Linked DNA regions of Mus musculus: regions 1, 2 and 3 are each reported to be linked to region 4. The links are microRNA targets in miRTarBase. Many come from high-throughput screens and were not tested one by one. Region 4 holds a microRNA gene; each other region holds the end of a gene's coding sequence.
Evidence for each region. The annotated mature microRNA mmu-miR-539-3p reads CAUACAAGGAUAAUUUCUUUUU and lies in region 4 at 2,119-2,140, opposite strand. An mRNA with a match to its seed (bases 2 to 7 or 8) in the 3' UTR can be bound and repressed. Matches are read on the target gene's strand: a 7mer-m8 pairs with bases 2 to 8, a 7mer-A1 pairs with bases 2 to 7 and ends in A, and an 8mer does both.

Region 1: the mRNA of B3gnt2 is a reported target of mmu-miR-539-3p. Seed matches in the 3' UTR shown: 7mer-A1 at 1,711-1,717.
Region 2: the mRNA of Alg6 is a reported target of mmu-miR-539-3p. Seed matches in the 3' UTR shown: 7mer-m8 at 1,131-1,137 and 7mer-A1 at 1,163-1,169.
Region 3: miRTarBase lists Igsf3 as a target of mmu-miR-539-3p. The part of its 3' UTR that is shown has no 7-base or 8-base seed match.

The regions. Positions count from the first base shown.
Region 1 is chr11:22,833,397-22,836,503 of GRCm38, forward strand. It overlaps B3gnt2 (UDP-GlcNAc:betaGal beta-1,3-N-acetylglucosaminyltransferase 2), which reads right to left. Exons shown (of 2, transcript NM_016888.5): 2 at 1,343-3,107. The coding sequence ends at 2,597. Among named protein-coding and RNA genes, the nearest start is that of B3gnt2, 25 kb to the right of the region's middle.
Region 2 is chr4:99,761,810-99,764,942 of GRCm38, forward strand. It overlaps Alg6 (asparagine-linked glycosylation 6 (alpha-1,3,-glucosyltransferase)), which reads left to right. Exons shown (of 15, transcript NM_001081264.1): 15 at 62-1,651. The coding sequence ends at 259. Among named protein-coding and RNA genes, the nearest start is that of Alg6, 48 kb to the left of the region's middle.
Region 3 is chr3:101,459,607-101,462,739 of GRCm38, forward strand. Igsf3 (immunoglobulin superfamily, member 3) reads left to right here. Exons shown (of 11, transcript NM_207205.2): 11 at 181-3,133. The coding sequence ends at 431. Among named protein-coding and RNA genes, the nearest start is that of Gm40109, 47 kb to the right of the region's middle.
Region 4 is chr12:109,727,183-109,730,315 of GRCm38, reverse strand. It overlaps Mir539 (microRNA 539), which reads right to left and starts at 2,187; the gene lies at 2,114-2,187. It overlaps Mir487b (microRNA 487b), which reads right to left and starts at 2,983; the gene lies at 2,902-2,983. It overlaps Mir544 (microRNA 544), which reads right to left and starts at 991; the gene lies at 914-991.

The DNA.
Region 1 (3,107 bases), not on the chromosome of region 4:
TTCATAAACAACAGACTCCCGTAGCACAAGCAACCAGAAAACAAAACATCACTGGGGATTTTTTGTGGACGGGAAGTGACCAGGGCAGGTTCTCGTGTACCCTGGACTAGCATGCAACTTCCTATGTAGCCAAGGATATCCTTGATGTTCTAATAGCCCTGCCTCCACCTCTGGAGAGTGCCGGGACACAGGCCCGTGTCACCACACCCCATCCAAGTTTATGTTGTCCTGGGGTTTGGTTCCAGGTCTCTGTGCATGACGGGCAAGCTTTCTACTAAATGATCTACACCCCAGGTCCTGGAATGCATTTTCAAAAGGCAAAAAAAGGGAAAAGAAAAATGGCCACAGTTAGGCATGGCGCCACAACCTGGTAACCTCAGCATCTGAGAAACTGAAGCAGCGAGTTGGGGGTGGGGTAACACTTTAGAGTCACCTTAAGCCACAAAGTAATATCAAATTAAAAAAACCTGTCATGGTTCAACCAACATTTTTCTTCTGTGGTAGATGTGTAGTGAGAGTGGCAGTGTTACCCTGAAGCCTGTTTGTTTTAGAGCTAGTGTACAAACTTTGTAAGAAAGTATACCATCTCTAAAGCAGTCTTAGAAAAAGACAGCTCCCTTGGGCTTCAGACACAAACCATATGCACTCAGCACCTCCTCCGGGGTTCTGAGCAGATCCCCAGTCCCAGCAGGCAGCTGCCTTCACACACTCCTAGCCACCTTAGATCATGTTCTCAAACAATGCAATCCAAGGACAGAATAGGAGTTTCTACTTTGTATACCTTTCATAAAGACAGGCAGCAGACATGGGTGCTGCACACCAGGGTTTCTTGGTCTGGGTCAAGTCAGTAAAATGGTTTGGTCGATCTCAGGGAGGCCTTGGAGGAAGGGCATGAAGGTGTATATTAGTTGACAGGTCGAGAAAGAAGTGCAACCCGTGGTTGGAAATGCCTGGGTCCTTCTTGCAGACGCTTGGGATGTGGGGGTCCAGGTGCTTTATAGCTGGAATGCATGTCTTCAATTCCATCATCACAATGGAGGTAGAGGGAGGAGCAGCTCTAGGAATTCCAGGCCAGATTGGTCAACATACTGAGCCCCAGGACAGCCAGGACCCCATAGAGACCCCCTCAAATCAAAAACAGAAACAAAAAAAACCAGATGGCACAGCTCTCAGGAAGACACACATAGGTGGGAAGTGCTTTTAAGACTACAGATGCAGTGATGGCTAACCCACGGACACAGACTGTTAATATAATGATGACTGTAATGGTTTCTGGGAAAGATAGCCCAGGGAGAATGTCATGAAACACAGGGAAACAAGAACAGAAAGAGTATCACTTATTATACGTGATGATTAAAAAATACAATCACTTTATTTCCACTTTTTCCCAGTCCCCTGTAGCACAGGTGAGAACCCTCTAAAGCACAAAAATATTTCAAGAAAGCATGTTACAAGATACTAGTATATGCAATATTTTGGCAGAACTTTATTTTCTCTAGCAGTTCATACCCCCCCATCCAAATTTTAAAATTCAAAAATAAGAGTTAACTTTATCTAACATGTTACAGCTTAACATTTAAAACATCATGCTGGATCTGGGAGGAGATGGGGAGGTGAATACAATCAAAACACATTGTATGAAATTCTCAAAGAATTAAAAATGAGAAAAAATAAAATATCATGCTCTAGTTAAATATTTCACAAACACTGTATACAAATAAAATATTACACAAAATATTTTTTAAGAAAATGTTTTGGTGTTTGATCTGAACAATAAATAAAAGCACAGGCACTTCTACACTGAGACAGGGAAGTGTCACTACCCAGAATTTTATCTAAGGAATACGTGATAATATGGCAAGAATAGAATCTTGGGGTTTTAACTGACTAATCACGTCCAAAGCTCAGAAGTGGCGAATGCTTCCCAGTCTCTGAACACTCACAGACCCATGGCTGTCGGGCTACTCAGTCTCCAGTTGGCCATTAGGGAATCACACTCATGATCTTCAAATACTAAAAATAGGTTAACTACCATGATGCCACCCAGGAAACCAAACACAAGTAAAAAGAAAATCCCCTCTGTCCTCATGGCCATAAGCCCTGACAAGATGAACTACACGCACTGCGTGGCTTTCCTTGCATAAAGGAAGTAACGGTTTCTAGTAACAAGGACAATACTGCTGGGTGACGGGAGATTGACATCAGTCTACTTTCTAGACAACTTTCAAAATCTTATGAAAATACATAGAATTCCATTTCACAAAGCCACCAGGTTGTGTCCTACATATATATATATGTATGTATGTACACACACACATATATACACACATACATACATAATTGTGGAGGAGAAAGAAAACAAATTAGAAACTGAGGACCGGCAGCCAGAGGAAGGGTCATAACCACTCACCCTGCCATGCTGAGCTGTCTTCAGCCTTCCCTCTTCACAAGGCAAGGGAAGGACTGAGGGCTTGGGAGCCCAGGGGCTACCTGCTCATGAAGGCTAATAGCCTCACACAGAACTCACCTATTGTGAGAGCACACCATGGGAACTAGTCAGGCTAGGCCTTTCTGTGAAATGCAGCTCATGTCTATTTCAGCATTTTAAATTAGGACTTTGCAACTGAGACCAGATATCAATCATCTCTTGAGGTTTTCTGCTATGTACTAACATTAGGTCTATATAGGAACAAATATTTTTCTTATTTTTCTCTTCAATATCAAATGTCCTGAAGCCTTTGTGCTTCTCTGGAACAAGGCCCAGTTTCTGAAGGCACATTCCCGTATAAACATCATCAATAGGGTAGAGATGGACCCGGCTAGTCGCACTGTACAGCCTCAAGGCAAGGGGGCCGGAGTACAGGAATCCACCACCCCCGGCATACGGTGGGTAGACGCCGGTGTAGAAGACTTCTGGGATGTAGTACTTCAGTTTCTTATCCCGGTGAGGCCCAGCATTGTGGATCACGTCACCTATGAACAAGTCTTTGGCTTTGCTCTTGGATAAGCTATTCAAGTAATTAAGGATGTGATGGGTGTTCACAAACACGTCATCATCGCCCTTGAAGACAAACTCTGCGTCTGGACAGGAAGTGCTCACCCACCTA
Region 2 (3,133 bases), not on the chromosome of region 4:
CTTTGGTGTCATGTGACATTTGGGACAGCAAAGGTGAGTGATTCTCTCTTTTCCCTTACAGTTTCTTTCTTCAGTCATCACCATGGTCCTCCTGACGATTTTGAGTGTAACACTGGACCCTCCTCAGAAATTACCAGACTTGTTTCCTGTACTTATATGTTTTGTTTCCTGTGTAAATTTTGTATTCTTCTTGGTATACTTTAATATTGTAATCATGTGGGATTCCAAAAATGGAAGAAATCGGAAGAAAATTGAGTAGCTACATTCCCAAGCAGATGCAATCTTTTTGTTATGTATAAGTGAACATAATCATCTTTAGAATCATGGAATTACAGGAAAAGAAATGGTGAAAGGGCATTGTTATTTACACAAAGTGTATACAAGGACCAAAGCATTTGTCTTCTTAGGTTTTTTGTTTGTTTGTTTGTTTGTTTGTTTGTTTTGCTAAGCATACTATAATTTTGGTAATATTCACAGATATTTAATGGTAAAACAAGAAAAAAAATTGTCCCAGCTGGTCGTAGTAGCTCATCTTTGCAATGTCAGTACCAGGAGGTAGAGGCAGGCTACCTAGAGATCAAGGCCATCCTTGGTTATAAATAGCAAGTTTGAGGCTAGCCTAGGCTATGTGAGACCCTGTCTCAACAAAAGGGTTCCCAATGCCAATATTTAATAATGGAATGCATCCTATAAATTGTAACTTTTAAAAACTATGTATTTTATATATAGTTTTAAAATGTAAGACCAGTCAGAATGCACACAGAGCCAGGCCTGCTGGTACACATTGGGCATCTCAGCACTTGGTAGGGACAGGCAGGAGGAGCATGAATTTGAGGCTAGCCTGAGCTACATAAAATCCTGTTTTAAAAAACAAAACAAAGTCAGACAAAGTGTGCTTCAATAAATTTAAACTGAGTTTATTGGAAGAATTAAGCACCTGACTTGTTTAGCGACAAGTGATGAGCATCTCATTCAGAAGTTGTATCTCTGGGCTGAAGAGATGGTTTAGCAGTTAAGAGCCGTGGCTGCTCTTCAGAGGACCTGAATTCAATTCCAGCAACCACATGGTGGCTCACAACCATCTGTAATGGGATCTGATACCCTTTTCTGGTGTGCATGAAGATATCATACTTGTATGCATAAAATATATGTATATATGTATTTGTATACATAAATCTTTAGAAGTATCTCAGGGAATTAACATTTTTCTTAATTACTGAGAAGGTACATTATGCTATTTGAAATTTGAATATCCATTATTGCATATGCAAAATTGGATACTTATAGATTAAGTAGTATTCTTGTTTCCAAGAATGTAGAATCTCTTGATGCTATTTTTTTTAAAAAGAACTTTTATTGAATATAAATCTAAGAAGTTTGAAGTCTTTTTAGTTACTCATGGTATTTAGTTCTAAATTTCTAGAGTCATTCTAAATTGACTACCATATCAACGACTCCATCTCCCTTTCTGTTACCTTGTTAACACCGAAATAACTGCATATTCAAATCATGGCTAACACCGGCTCTGTCCCATTGGTAGGGTTATCCCTTCACCCATATCAATTCCTAAAAATCATGTAGTGTGTTTTACTTTCACAGGAAAGCTGTTTCTTTAGTCTCTGATGAAAATTAAAGCCACTTTACGACTAGCCTTGTTTGCGTGTATTTCTTTCATAATATAGTCACCAGAGCATTAAGTCATTAAATGGCATATTCTAAAGTGGTATAAAGAATTGGAGTCTAGACTTGGCTATCCATAGGCTGATGCTAGAAAATATGTATTTCTCAGTCTGACAAAGCAAATGTACATGAGGACTTCAGGGTCAAGGTCAGCAGAGAGGCAACCTTGGTGGCTGCAGAATCAGCAGGCAGTATCACTGCGTCACTGCCCCACTATCCATGGCCACTATCTGTAATTGTTGGGCCCAGCAGGCAGCATCCTGGCTACTTTTACTTGAACCTGTTTTACTTTTAATAATGTATCAAAGTTTAACACAGAATTGCTGATTTCCATTAACTTCCCAGAAATTGAGTAGTACAACTTCAAAATAAAAGTATTAAGAAGTATAATGGAATGCCAGATTCAGTGTTTGTCCTGCACGTAAATTCTGTCAATAAAAATACATTTTTTCGGGGCCTAGCAAACACAGAAGTGGATGCTCACAGTCAGCTAATGGATGGATCATAGGGCTCCCAATGGAGGAGCTAGAGAAAGTAGCCAAGGAGCTAAAGGGATCTGCAACCCTATAGGTGGAACAACATTATGAACTAACCAGTACCCCGGAGCTCTTGACTCTAGCTGCATATATATCAAAAGATGGCCTAGTCGGCCATCACTGGAAAGAGAGGCCCATTGGACTTGCAAACTTTATATGCCCCAGTACAGGGGAACACCAGGGCCAAAAAGGGGGAGTGGGTGGGCAGGGGAGTGGGGGTGGGTGGATATGGGGGACTTTTGGTATAGCATTGGAAATGTAAATGAGTTAAATACCTAATAAAAAATGGAAAAAAAATACATTTTTTTTCAGATGATTTAGTCTAACCATACCAATTTCCCATCAGCTTTAAAGGAGAGTTACAATGAGCAGTGTAAGTCAGTAACTTATCTAGTAGAAACCAGCCAGAATGCACACAGAGCCAGGCCTGTTGGTACACACTGGGCATCTTAGCACTTGGTAGCTACAAGCAGGAGGAGAATGAGTTTGAGACTAGCCTGAGCTACATAAAATCCTGTTTTAAAAAACAAAACAAAGTCAGACAAAGTGTGCTTTGTGCTTGTGTAGGTAGCTTCCATAGCACCGGATCCTTCCTTGAAAATTTCAGTCTCTCAGCTAACATCAGGATATGGGATCTTTTAATAGATACTGATAATAAATTAAGTAAAGATCAGAAGCCTCATTTTTTTTCCTTGTAAAAAATGAAGAGTTCTGTTCTTTTCAGCTATACTTTAGTGTGAAAGAGACAGTGTTGAGAAGTGCCCCTTTCTCCTCTCCTCATGGACTTGGGTTTGCTTCTTAAAGCAATGAAGAGAATGCCCTGTAGGCTCATACCATATAAAGCATTCCGGAATCATTCTCCTTCAGGCTTTAGGGAGAAGAGAAAATATGTCCAAATCATAAGCCACACTGAGGGA
Region 3 (3,133 bases), not on the chromosome of region 4:
AGATGATTGGTTGGGGTGCCATGAGAAAAAGAGCAAGGCAGAAGTCTCCCAGTCACAGGTGGCAGGGGAGGACTAGGAGGGTGTCTGGGGTAGTTTCATCAGGTCAGGAGAGCTCTCAGGAGCAGGGAGCAGGCGCACAGAGTCCAGGCTTCATCCTCATGGTTCCTTGCTGCCTTCCAGGTTCAACCCTGCAGTCGCTCATCTGCTCCAACGATGCCCTCTTCTACTTTGTCTTCTTCTACCCTTTCCCCATCTTTGGCATCCTCATCATCACCATTCTGCTGGTGCGCTTCAAAAGCCGGAACTCCAGCAAGAACTCAGAGGGGAAGAACGGGGTGCCCCTGTTGTGGATCAAGGAGCCTCACCTGAACTACTCCCCGACTTGCCTGGAGCCTCCGGTGCTCAGCATCCACCCGGGAGCCATTGACTAAAGAGGCTGCCCACTCCCAGCAGACGTTGCCCATGGCAGGGTCGGGTCAGGGGAGCCCTCTGGGCTTTTCCTCATTGCTTCGTGCTCTGTGATTGGACAGGCGACAGCACCTGAACTCTGCAGTTTCTCTGCAGGAGCCAGTCAGACCTGGAACTTGTTGGAAGCTTCCGGTCGAGGTGATGGTTGCCTCTGGGCGGCAGCCCTGGTTAGCTGATCACACCCAGGTGTCATGATGCCAACATCCTAGGTTCCTAGTTTTTGGTTTTGGTAACTTAGTGCGTAGCTCCAGGTGCCGCATCTACTCGCCAATCTAACTCATGTTCTCAGATCGGTGCTATGGGGTTTCCTGTGCTGTGTAATGTACTCTTTTAAGCCCCTTGGGTCCTCTCCTTTTGGATCCCATAATGTTGTGGAAGAGTTTCTCTCACAACTGATAAGCAAGAGGAAGACGCCTTCATAGTAACAAGGATTCTCTTCCAAGACATTTTTGTTTTTGCACATTTGAAAATGCCACCCGTGGATCAAAATATACCCAAACATTTTTTCTTTTTTTTTCTTTTTTTTTTTTTTTTTTTTTTTACTTTCTTAGCAAGACTTGAAAAATATGTGTAGCGTGGGCCCAATTTGTATCTTATCTCTTCCTTCAGCCGGAGTTGTTGGAACCACTTTATAGTCAAGATGAAAGCATTGAATTTCGCTTCAAAGGACTGACTGCACATGTGCAGAAGAAACCCTGCAGGACCCTATTAGGAGCAGATGGTGGCCAGCCAACCAGTCCGTCAGGGAGGCAAAAAGGCTCAGTCCCATCATTGCCAAAAAAGAAAAAAAAAAAAATAATAATAAACGAGCCAACCTGAAGGAAGGGTCAAGGGCTCCAGGCGGCACCCAGTTTCTGAGGGTTGCCCTGATCAAAGGCAATGACTGGGGATGAGGGGGGGACGGGTGGTTGTTGGCTTGGCTTTGGCAAGCTTGGTCTCTTGACTTACCCCTGGGCAGGTAGCTTTCTTCTGTAGGTGCTTTGCCAAATTTTCAAGGGGACATGTCTAGTGAAGCCTGAAGGGGCTGCCCTGAGTGGAGGGAGCATTATGGCCAAAGTGGCCCCTGTGCACAGGCCCAGTGGAGTGTGCTGAGCTGCTACACTGAGCTTAGCAGAGTGGAGCGTGGGAGGGCGTCTTAGAGCCTGGTTGAGAGGTTGGAGGAGTGCTTCCCTCTGTCTTCCTTCCAGTGAGCCTTTCCTCGGAGACGGTGAGGGCATCCTTATCCATCGCAGCTCTTCCCGAATCTCAGTGCCATGGAGATATTGTCCTCGGATAGGACCAGGCACAGCCCTTTGCCATTCTTGTTGTCCCCCTGCTTTCAGCAGACAACTCAGAACAGGAGCTGTCACTTTCCTTTGTTAGAGTGTGTGTGTGTGTGTGTGTGCGTGCGCGCGTGTATGTTTATGTTGTTTGGTTGTACTGGTGGCTTTTAATTTTCAGCCCCCAAATCTGAACTCCACTGCCTCCACTCTGTTAAGCCAGATGCTTAGCTGCCCTGGAGCCTCATCAATTGTAAATCCTCCCTTTTGTCACTCTGAGGGTCTCGTGACCCCTCTCTTCCCCATCCTTCAGTGGCCACATCTTCTCTGGGGAATTTGCATCCTGAGTCCCAAGAGAGAGCCCCTTGGCAAAAGGTACCCAGGATTGTGGAAGTAAATTTAAGGAGTGATTTCTGCAAAGCCTTGTCCTGAGAATAAACAGACAACACAAAGGCTGCAGGACTTCCAGGTCATTGGGCCAGGCTGTTATGGATCCTTCCGAGGAGTCTGCTAGGTGTGGGCCGTGTGCTGAGCAGAGAGGGCAGGAGGCAAGATGCAGCCTGACAATCCTTCCTGGCCCTCTTGTTCTCTGAGAAGTGTCCAGGCAGCGCCACCTTAATCCTCCTGTGCCTGCCCTGCTGATTCTCATTTTTGCTGCACGAACACATCAGAGGGACCAAATTGGCTCAGTCACGAAGAAAGAATGTCTTTTGTTCTGTTCCTTCGATTCATGGGTGTGGGCTCTTGGTGGGTAGTTGCTGACTCCTGAGTTTTAGGCTGAGTCAATGAGGGAAGATTGACGCCAGAGGGCTGGCCTGGATTAAGATTTCAGATCAGCTCTGTAGCAGCAGAAGACTCAAGTAAATATGCAAAGCAACCGCAGGACGTTTGCAAGGAGCAAAGAAATCTATGTCAGTATTTTAACAACCGTTTTTTGCGTGTATTTTCTGCAGGGCTGGGGTATGCAATCAAAGTTTAAACTCTGAGCTTTCTATGAAAACAAAACAAAACAAAACAAAAACAAAAAAACAGAAAAGAAAAAGAAAAATCCAAAACCCTCAGGACCTCTCTGTGGCTGGGTCTATGGACATGTGTTGTCGGATAAATGGTGATGGCGCCCTCAAGTGGCTAGAAGGCTTCACTGCATATTGTCTGTTGAGGCTTTTGTCCTCCGAGATCAGAGTACTCAAGAGAGACTCCTGACATCTGTCCTCTCCAGTGTCACATTTATGAGCATCTCCACTGTGCTAGGCCTGTCCCAGGACACTATATGACCACACCCTCTCTCATCGGTGTGTTTCTGTAGCAAGTCTTCATATTTGTTTCCAACAATGGTGTCTCTGCGTTCATGTTGAAGACAGAGATGGGGTAAGAAGACTATCCGTGCATGAAGTAGAGAACTGTTG
Region 4 (3,133 bases):
TATCGCTTGTGCAGGGGGCCCTTCAAAAAAGCAGAGTTTGATAGTCAAAAGGAAGCTAACTGTGTCTCGTTCACAATAAGCAAACAGAACATGAATGACCTCAAATATTCTCAGAGATCTCTGACAGGAAAACCGGGGCCTCTTGTCTACTGTCCTCTCTCCTTCCAGAAGATTCTTCCAATGACAAATTGAATTCCTAGACTCTGAGAGGTGAATTCCCATAGTCTGTAAGAAAGCACATGAGCTGACAGCAACCACTCACTGCTACACATTGGTCCTAGGGCTAAAATCTGGTCTGACGGAAAAACTCATTCCCACAAGAGCTTCCTAAGGCAGGTCAATTTAGAAACAAAATGGAAGTCTATCTGGTCCTCCCTGAGAGGTAAGCTGGATGGCAAGAAGCCAGCAGCTGGCCGAATATCATGGAAGGGCAATGGCACCATGGGCATTACCTCTCTCGATAACGTCGAGGGTTGCTGGTAGATACGACAGATAGGACTCCTCCTTCCCCAGAAGCTGTGGTTCCAGAACTGTGCTCCTTACAATTGACTGGAAATGGAGAGTTACAGAGTCAGATGGTCTCAGTCACCAATAACCTGGTGCTGACAAGTCCTGCTGTTGGCTGACATAGGCAGCCCCTCCTTGAAGTAGCTCTTATATCTGGGAAGCCCATAGAGGCATGCTTTGATTTGAAAGAATAATCAATAATCAATAATGGTGTTTGTACAGCAGGTGGCCTTTCACAACTGACCACAGTTTGATCATCAAAAGGTAGCATATTGGCTCAATGCTCACTCATGATGGATAATGCGGGGTGGATGGAGGAGATGGAGCACACACACTACAAGGAACATGCAACATCACCTCCAGCCCCCAGTGGCTACATGTGTTGTCCACGGACCGGCAGCATTAGCATCACTTGAGAGCTTGCTAAAAATGCAGAATCTTGGCCCCTCAATCAGACTCTGCTTTTTAACAAGATCCCTAGGTGACGAATATCTTAGCAGCGTTGAGCAGTTTGAGAGGCCCTACACTAACCAACAATTTGTACAAGCATGCATGCAGGCACACACACACACACACACACACACACACACACACACACACACACACCAGATTATGGAATGAGCTGAAATGGTATGCTATTGACCAGGTATGTCTAAGAAAAAGTCAGCCCAAAGGAAGCCATAGGAACAGATAGAGAGTGACTTAAGGCAGCGGCGGCGGCAGGAAGTATCCTTATTAACACCTGTATTAACCACAGGAAGTCTATGCTCAGAATGGATGCTGAGGAGAGTGGGTGCTGGACCTAGAAGACCCTGGCCAAGTTCTGTCTACCTAAAGAGATGCTTGACCCAGTACCTTCTCAAGGAGTTCCTCTGAACTAAGACTTAACAGCAACAACAGACAGGTGAGTTATTCTCAGTGTTCTCCAGACCAAGCACAAAGAAGCAAGCCACCAAAGCTGTTGCCACCTCAAAGCTGTCACTGTGAGAGTACATGGGGGGGGGGGTGCCTTCTGAGGTTACTCTGCCTCAATAAATTCTCCCTCTCCTGCAGCAGGTACCAATGTCCATTAGCTGAAGTCACCACTGTGCTCTAGGACCTTCGGAAGCAAATCCAGATATGGGGCAAACAATGGTCGTCCCAATTAATCTCCATAAATATGGCGAGCACACTATTGATAGCCACCCTGCAAATGTCAGAGAACCACCGCACCGAGAAAAACCGCAGGACCTCCTCTCACGATCCAGACCAGACAGCTCGCCGGCCTCTGTCATTCAAGCACATGCTTGTGGAACCAGTCACACTCTTGAGCAAGGGGCCGGGGCCTGACCCCAGTGACTATCTGTGAGATTGGCTGCCCATCCAAAAAAAAAAAGAACGATTTGCCAAGTCATGAAAACTGTGCTATCTCACCATGACCAAGCCACGTAGGAACCCCTGGACTCTTCAAGCAAGATCCTGACTTGGGATCAGAGTGTAGCTCTTACACATCAGTTCTGTGCTCTCTTGCCTTGTGCCCAGGTAAGGCTAACCCATGCATCATGCACCAGGCACCTCTTTAAACAACCGTCTCGTCATCCCGGAAGTCCACCAGGGCAGTATTTGATACTCAAAAAGAAATTATCCTTGTATGATTCATCCAAAAGAGCCAACACACCAAGGATAATTTCTCCTCAAGTATGAAACAGTAGCACAGCAGGAATACCAGCATCCATAGGCCTCTTGGGAGTGATCACCACTCCTCACACGTGGCTGCACCCAATACATACATGCACCATGCATGCAGTACTACTGATGGCCATTCTAAGCACCAGGGAGGTGAGAGGCTATAGAAATGACTCCCCAGGACTCAGCATGACAACCTCACGTTAGCCTCTTCTAAGGGTAATGGTGGCTGGGGTCAAGAAGCCAGGCAGTGTCCATCTTAAGTGGAGCAAGCATTGTGGGTGGCCCTGCTGACCCCCGGCATGGGGTCTTCTGTTCTAGAAGCTGCTACAGAAATGATGTCACTGCCGAGTCACAAGCACCACCTTGTAAGTCCAGCACAAACTCTAAGCTCCAACACCCACTCACATGACTGACAGAGAATGTCTGTCTCAACATGGGCTCCCAAATCCAAGGAGAGGTTTGTATATCACCATCATAGCTGCCAGCAGTCAGCTCCCAGCAGACAAAAGTTTGGGCTGGCACATGGTCAATAATGAGCCTAGTCCCTACAAGAGCCTGATCTCTCCCAGCCCCCGAGAGCCATATGCATTGGACCCCAAGAGGACTCGCGAGTGACACACGAGACAAGGAGCATAACACGGCGACACCCTTGTCCAAGGATGTGTGATGGGAAGTGGCAGTGGCAGGATCCAGGCGCAGGAAGCCAGGCTGCAGAGTCTGCGCACTTGATACTGAAAAAGTGGATGACCCTGTACGATTCGGCATGAGTGAAGCGAAGAGGACAGGGATAACCACTCTCCAAGTACCAAAGCTCGGCCTGGAAAGCAAAGCCACCGCCTCAGGTAGACGTGCTACGTCTTCCAGGTAGGGTCCTGGGGACGAATTAGACGCTGAGCGTTAGCAGACTGGGTCACACACACCAAGCAAGAACATGCACACTTGGGTACCACGGCACGGC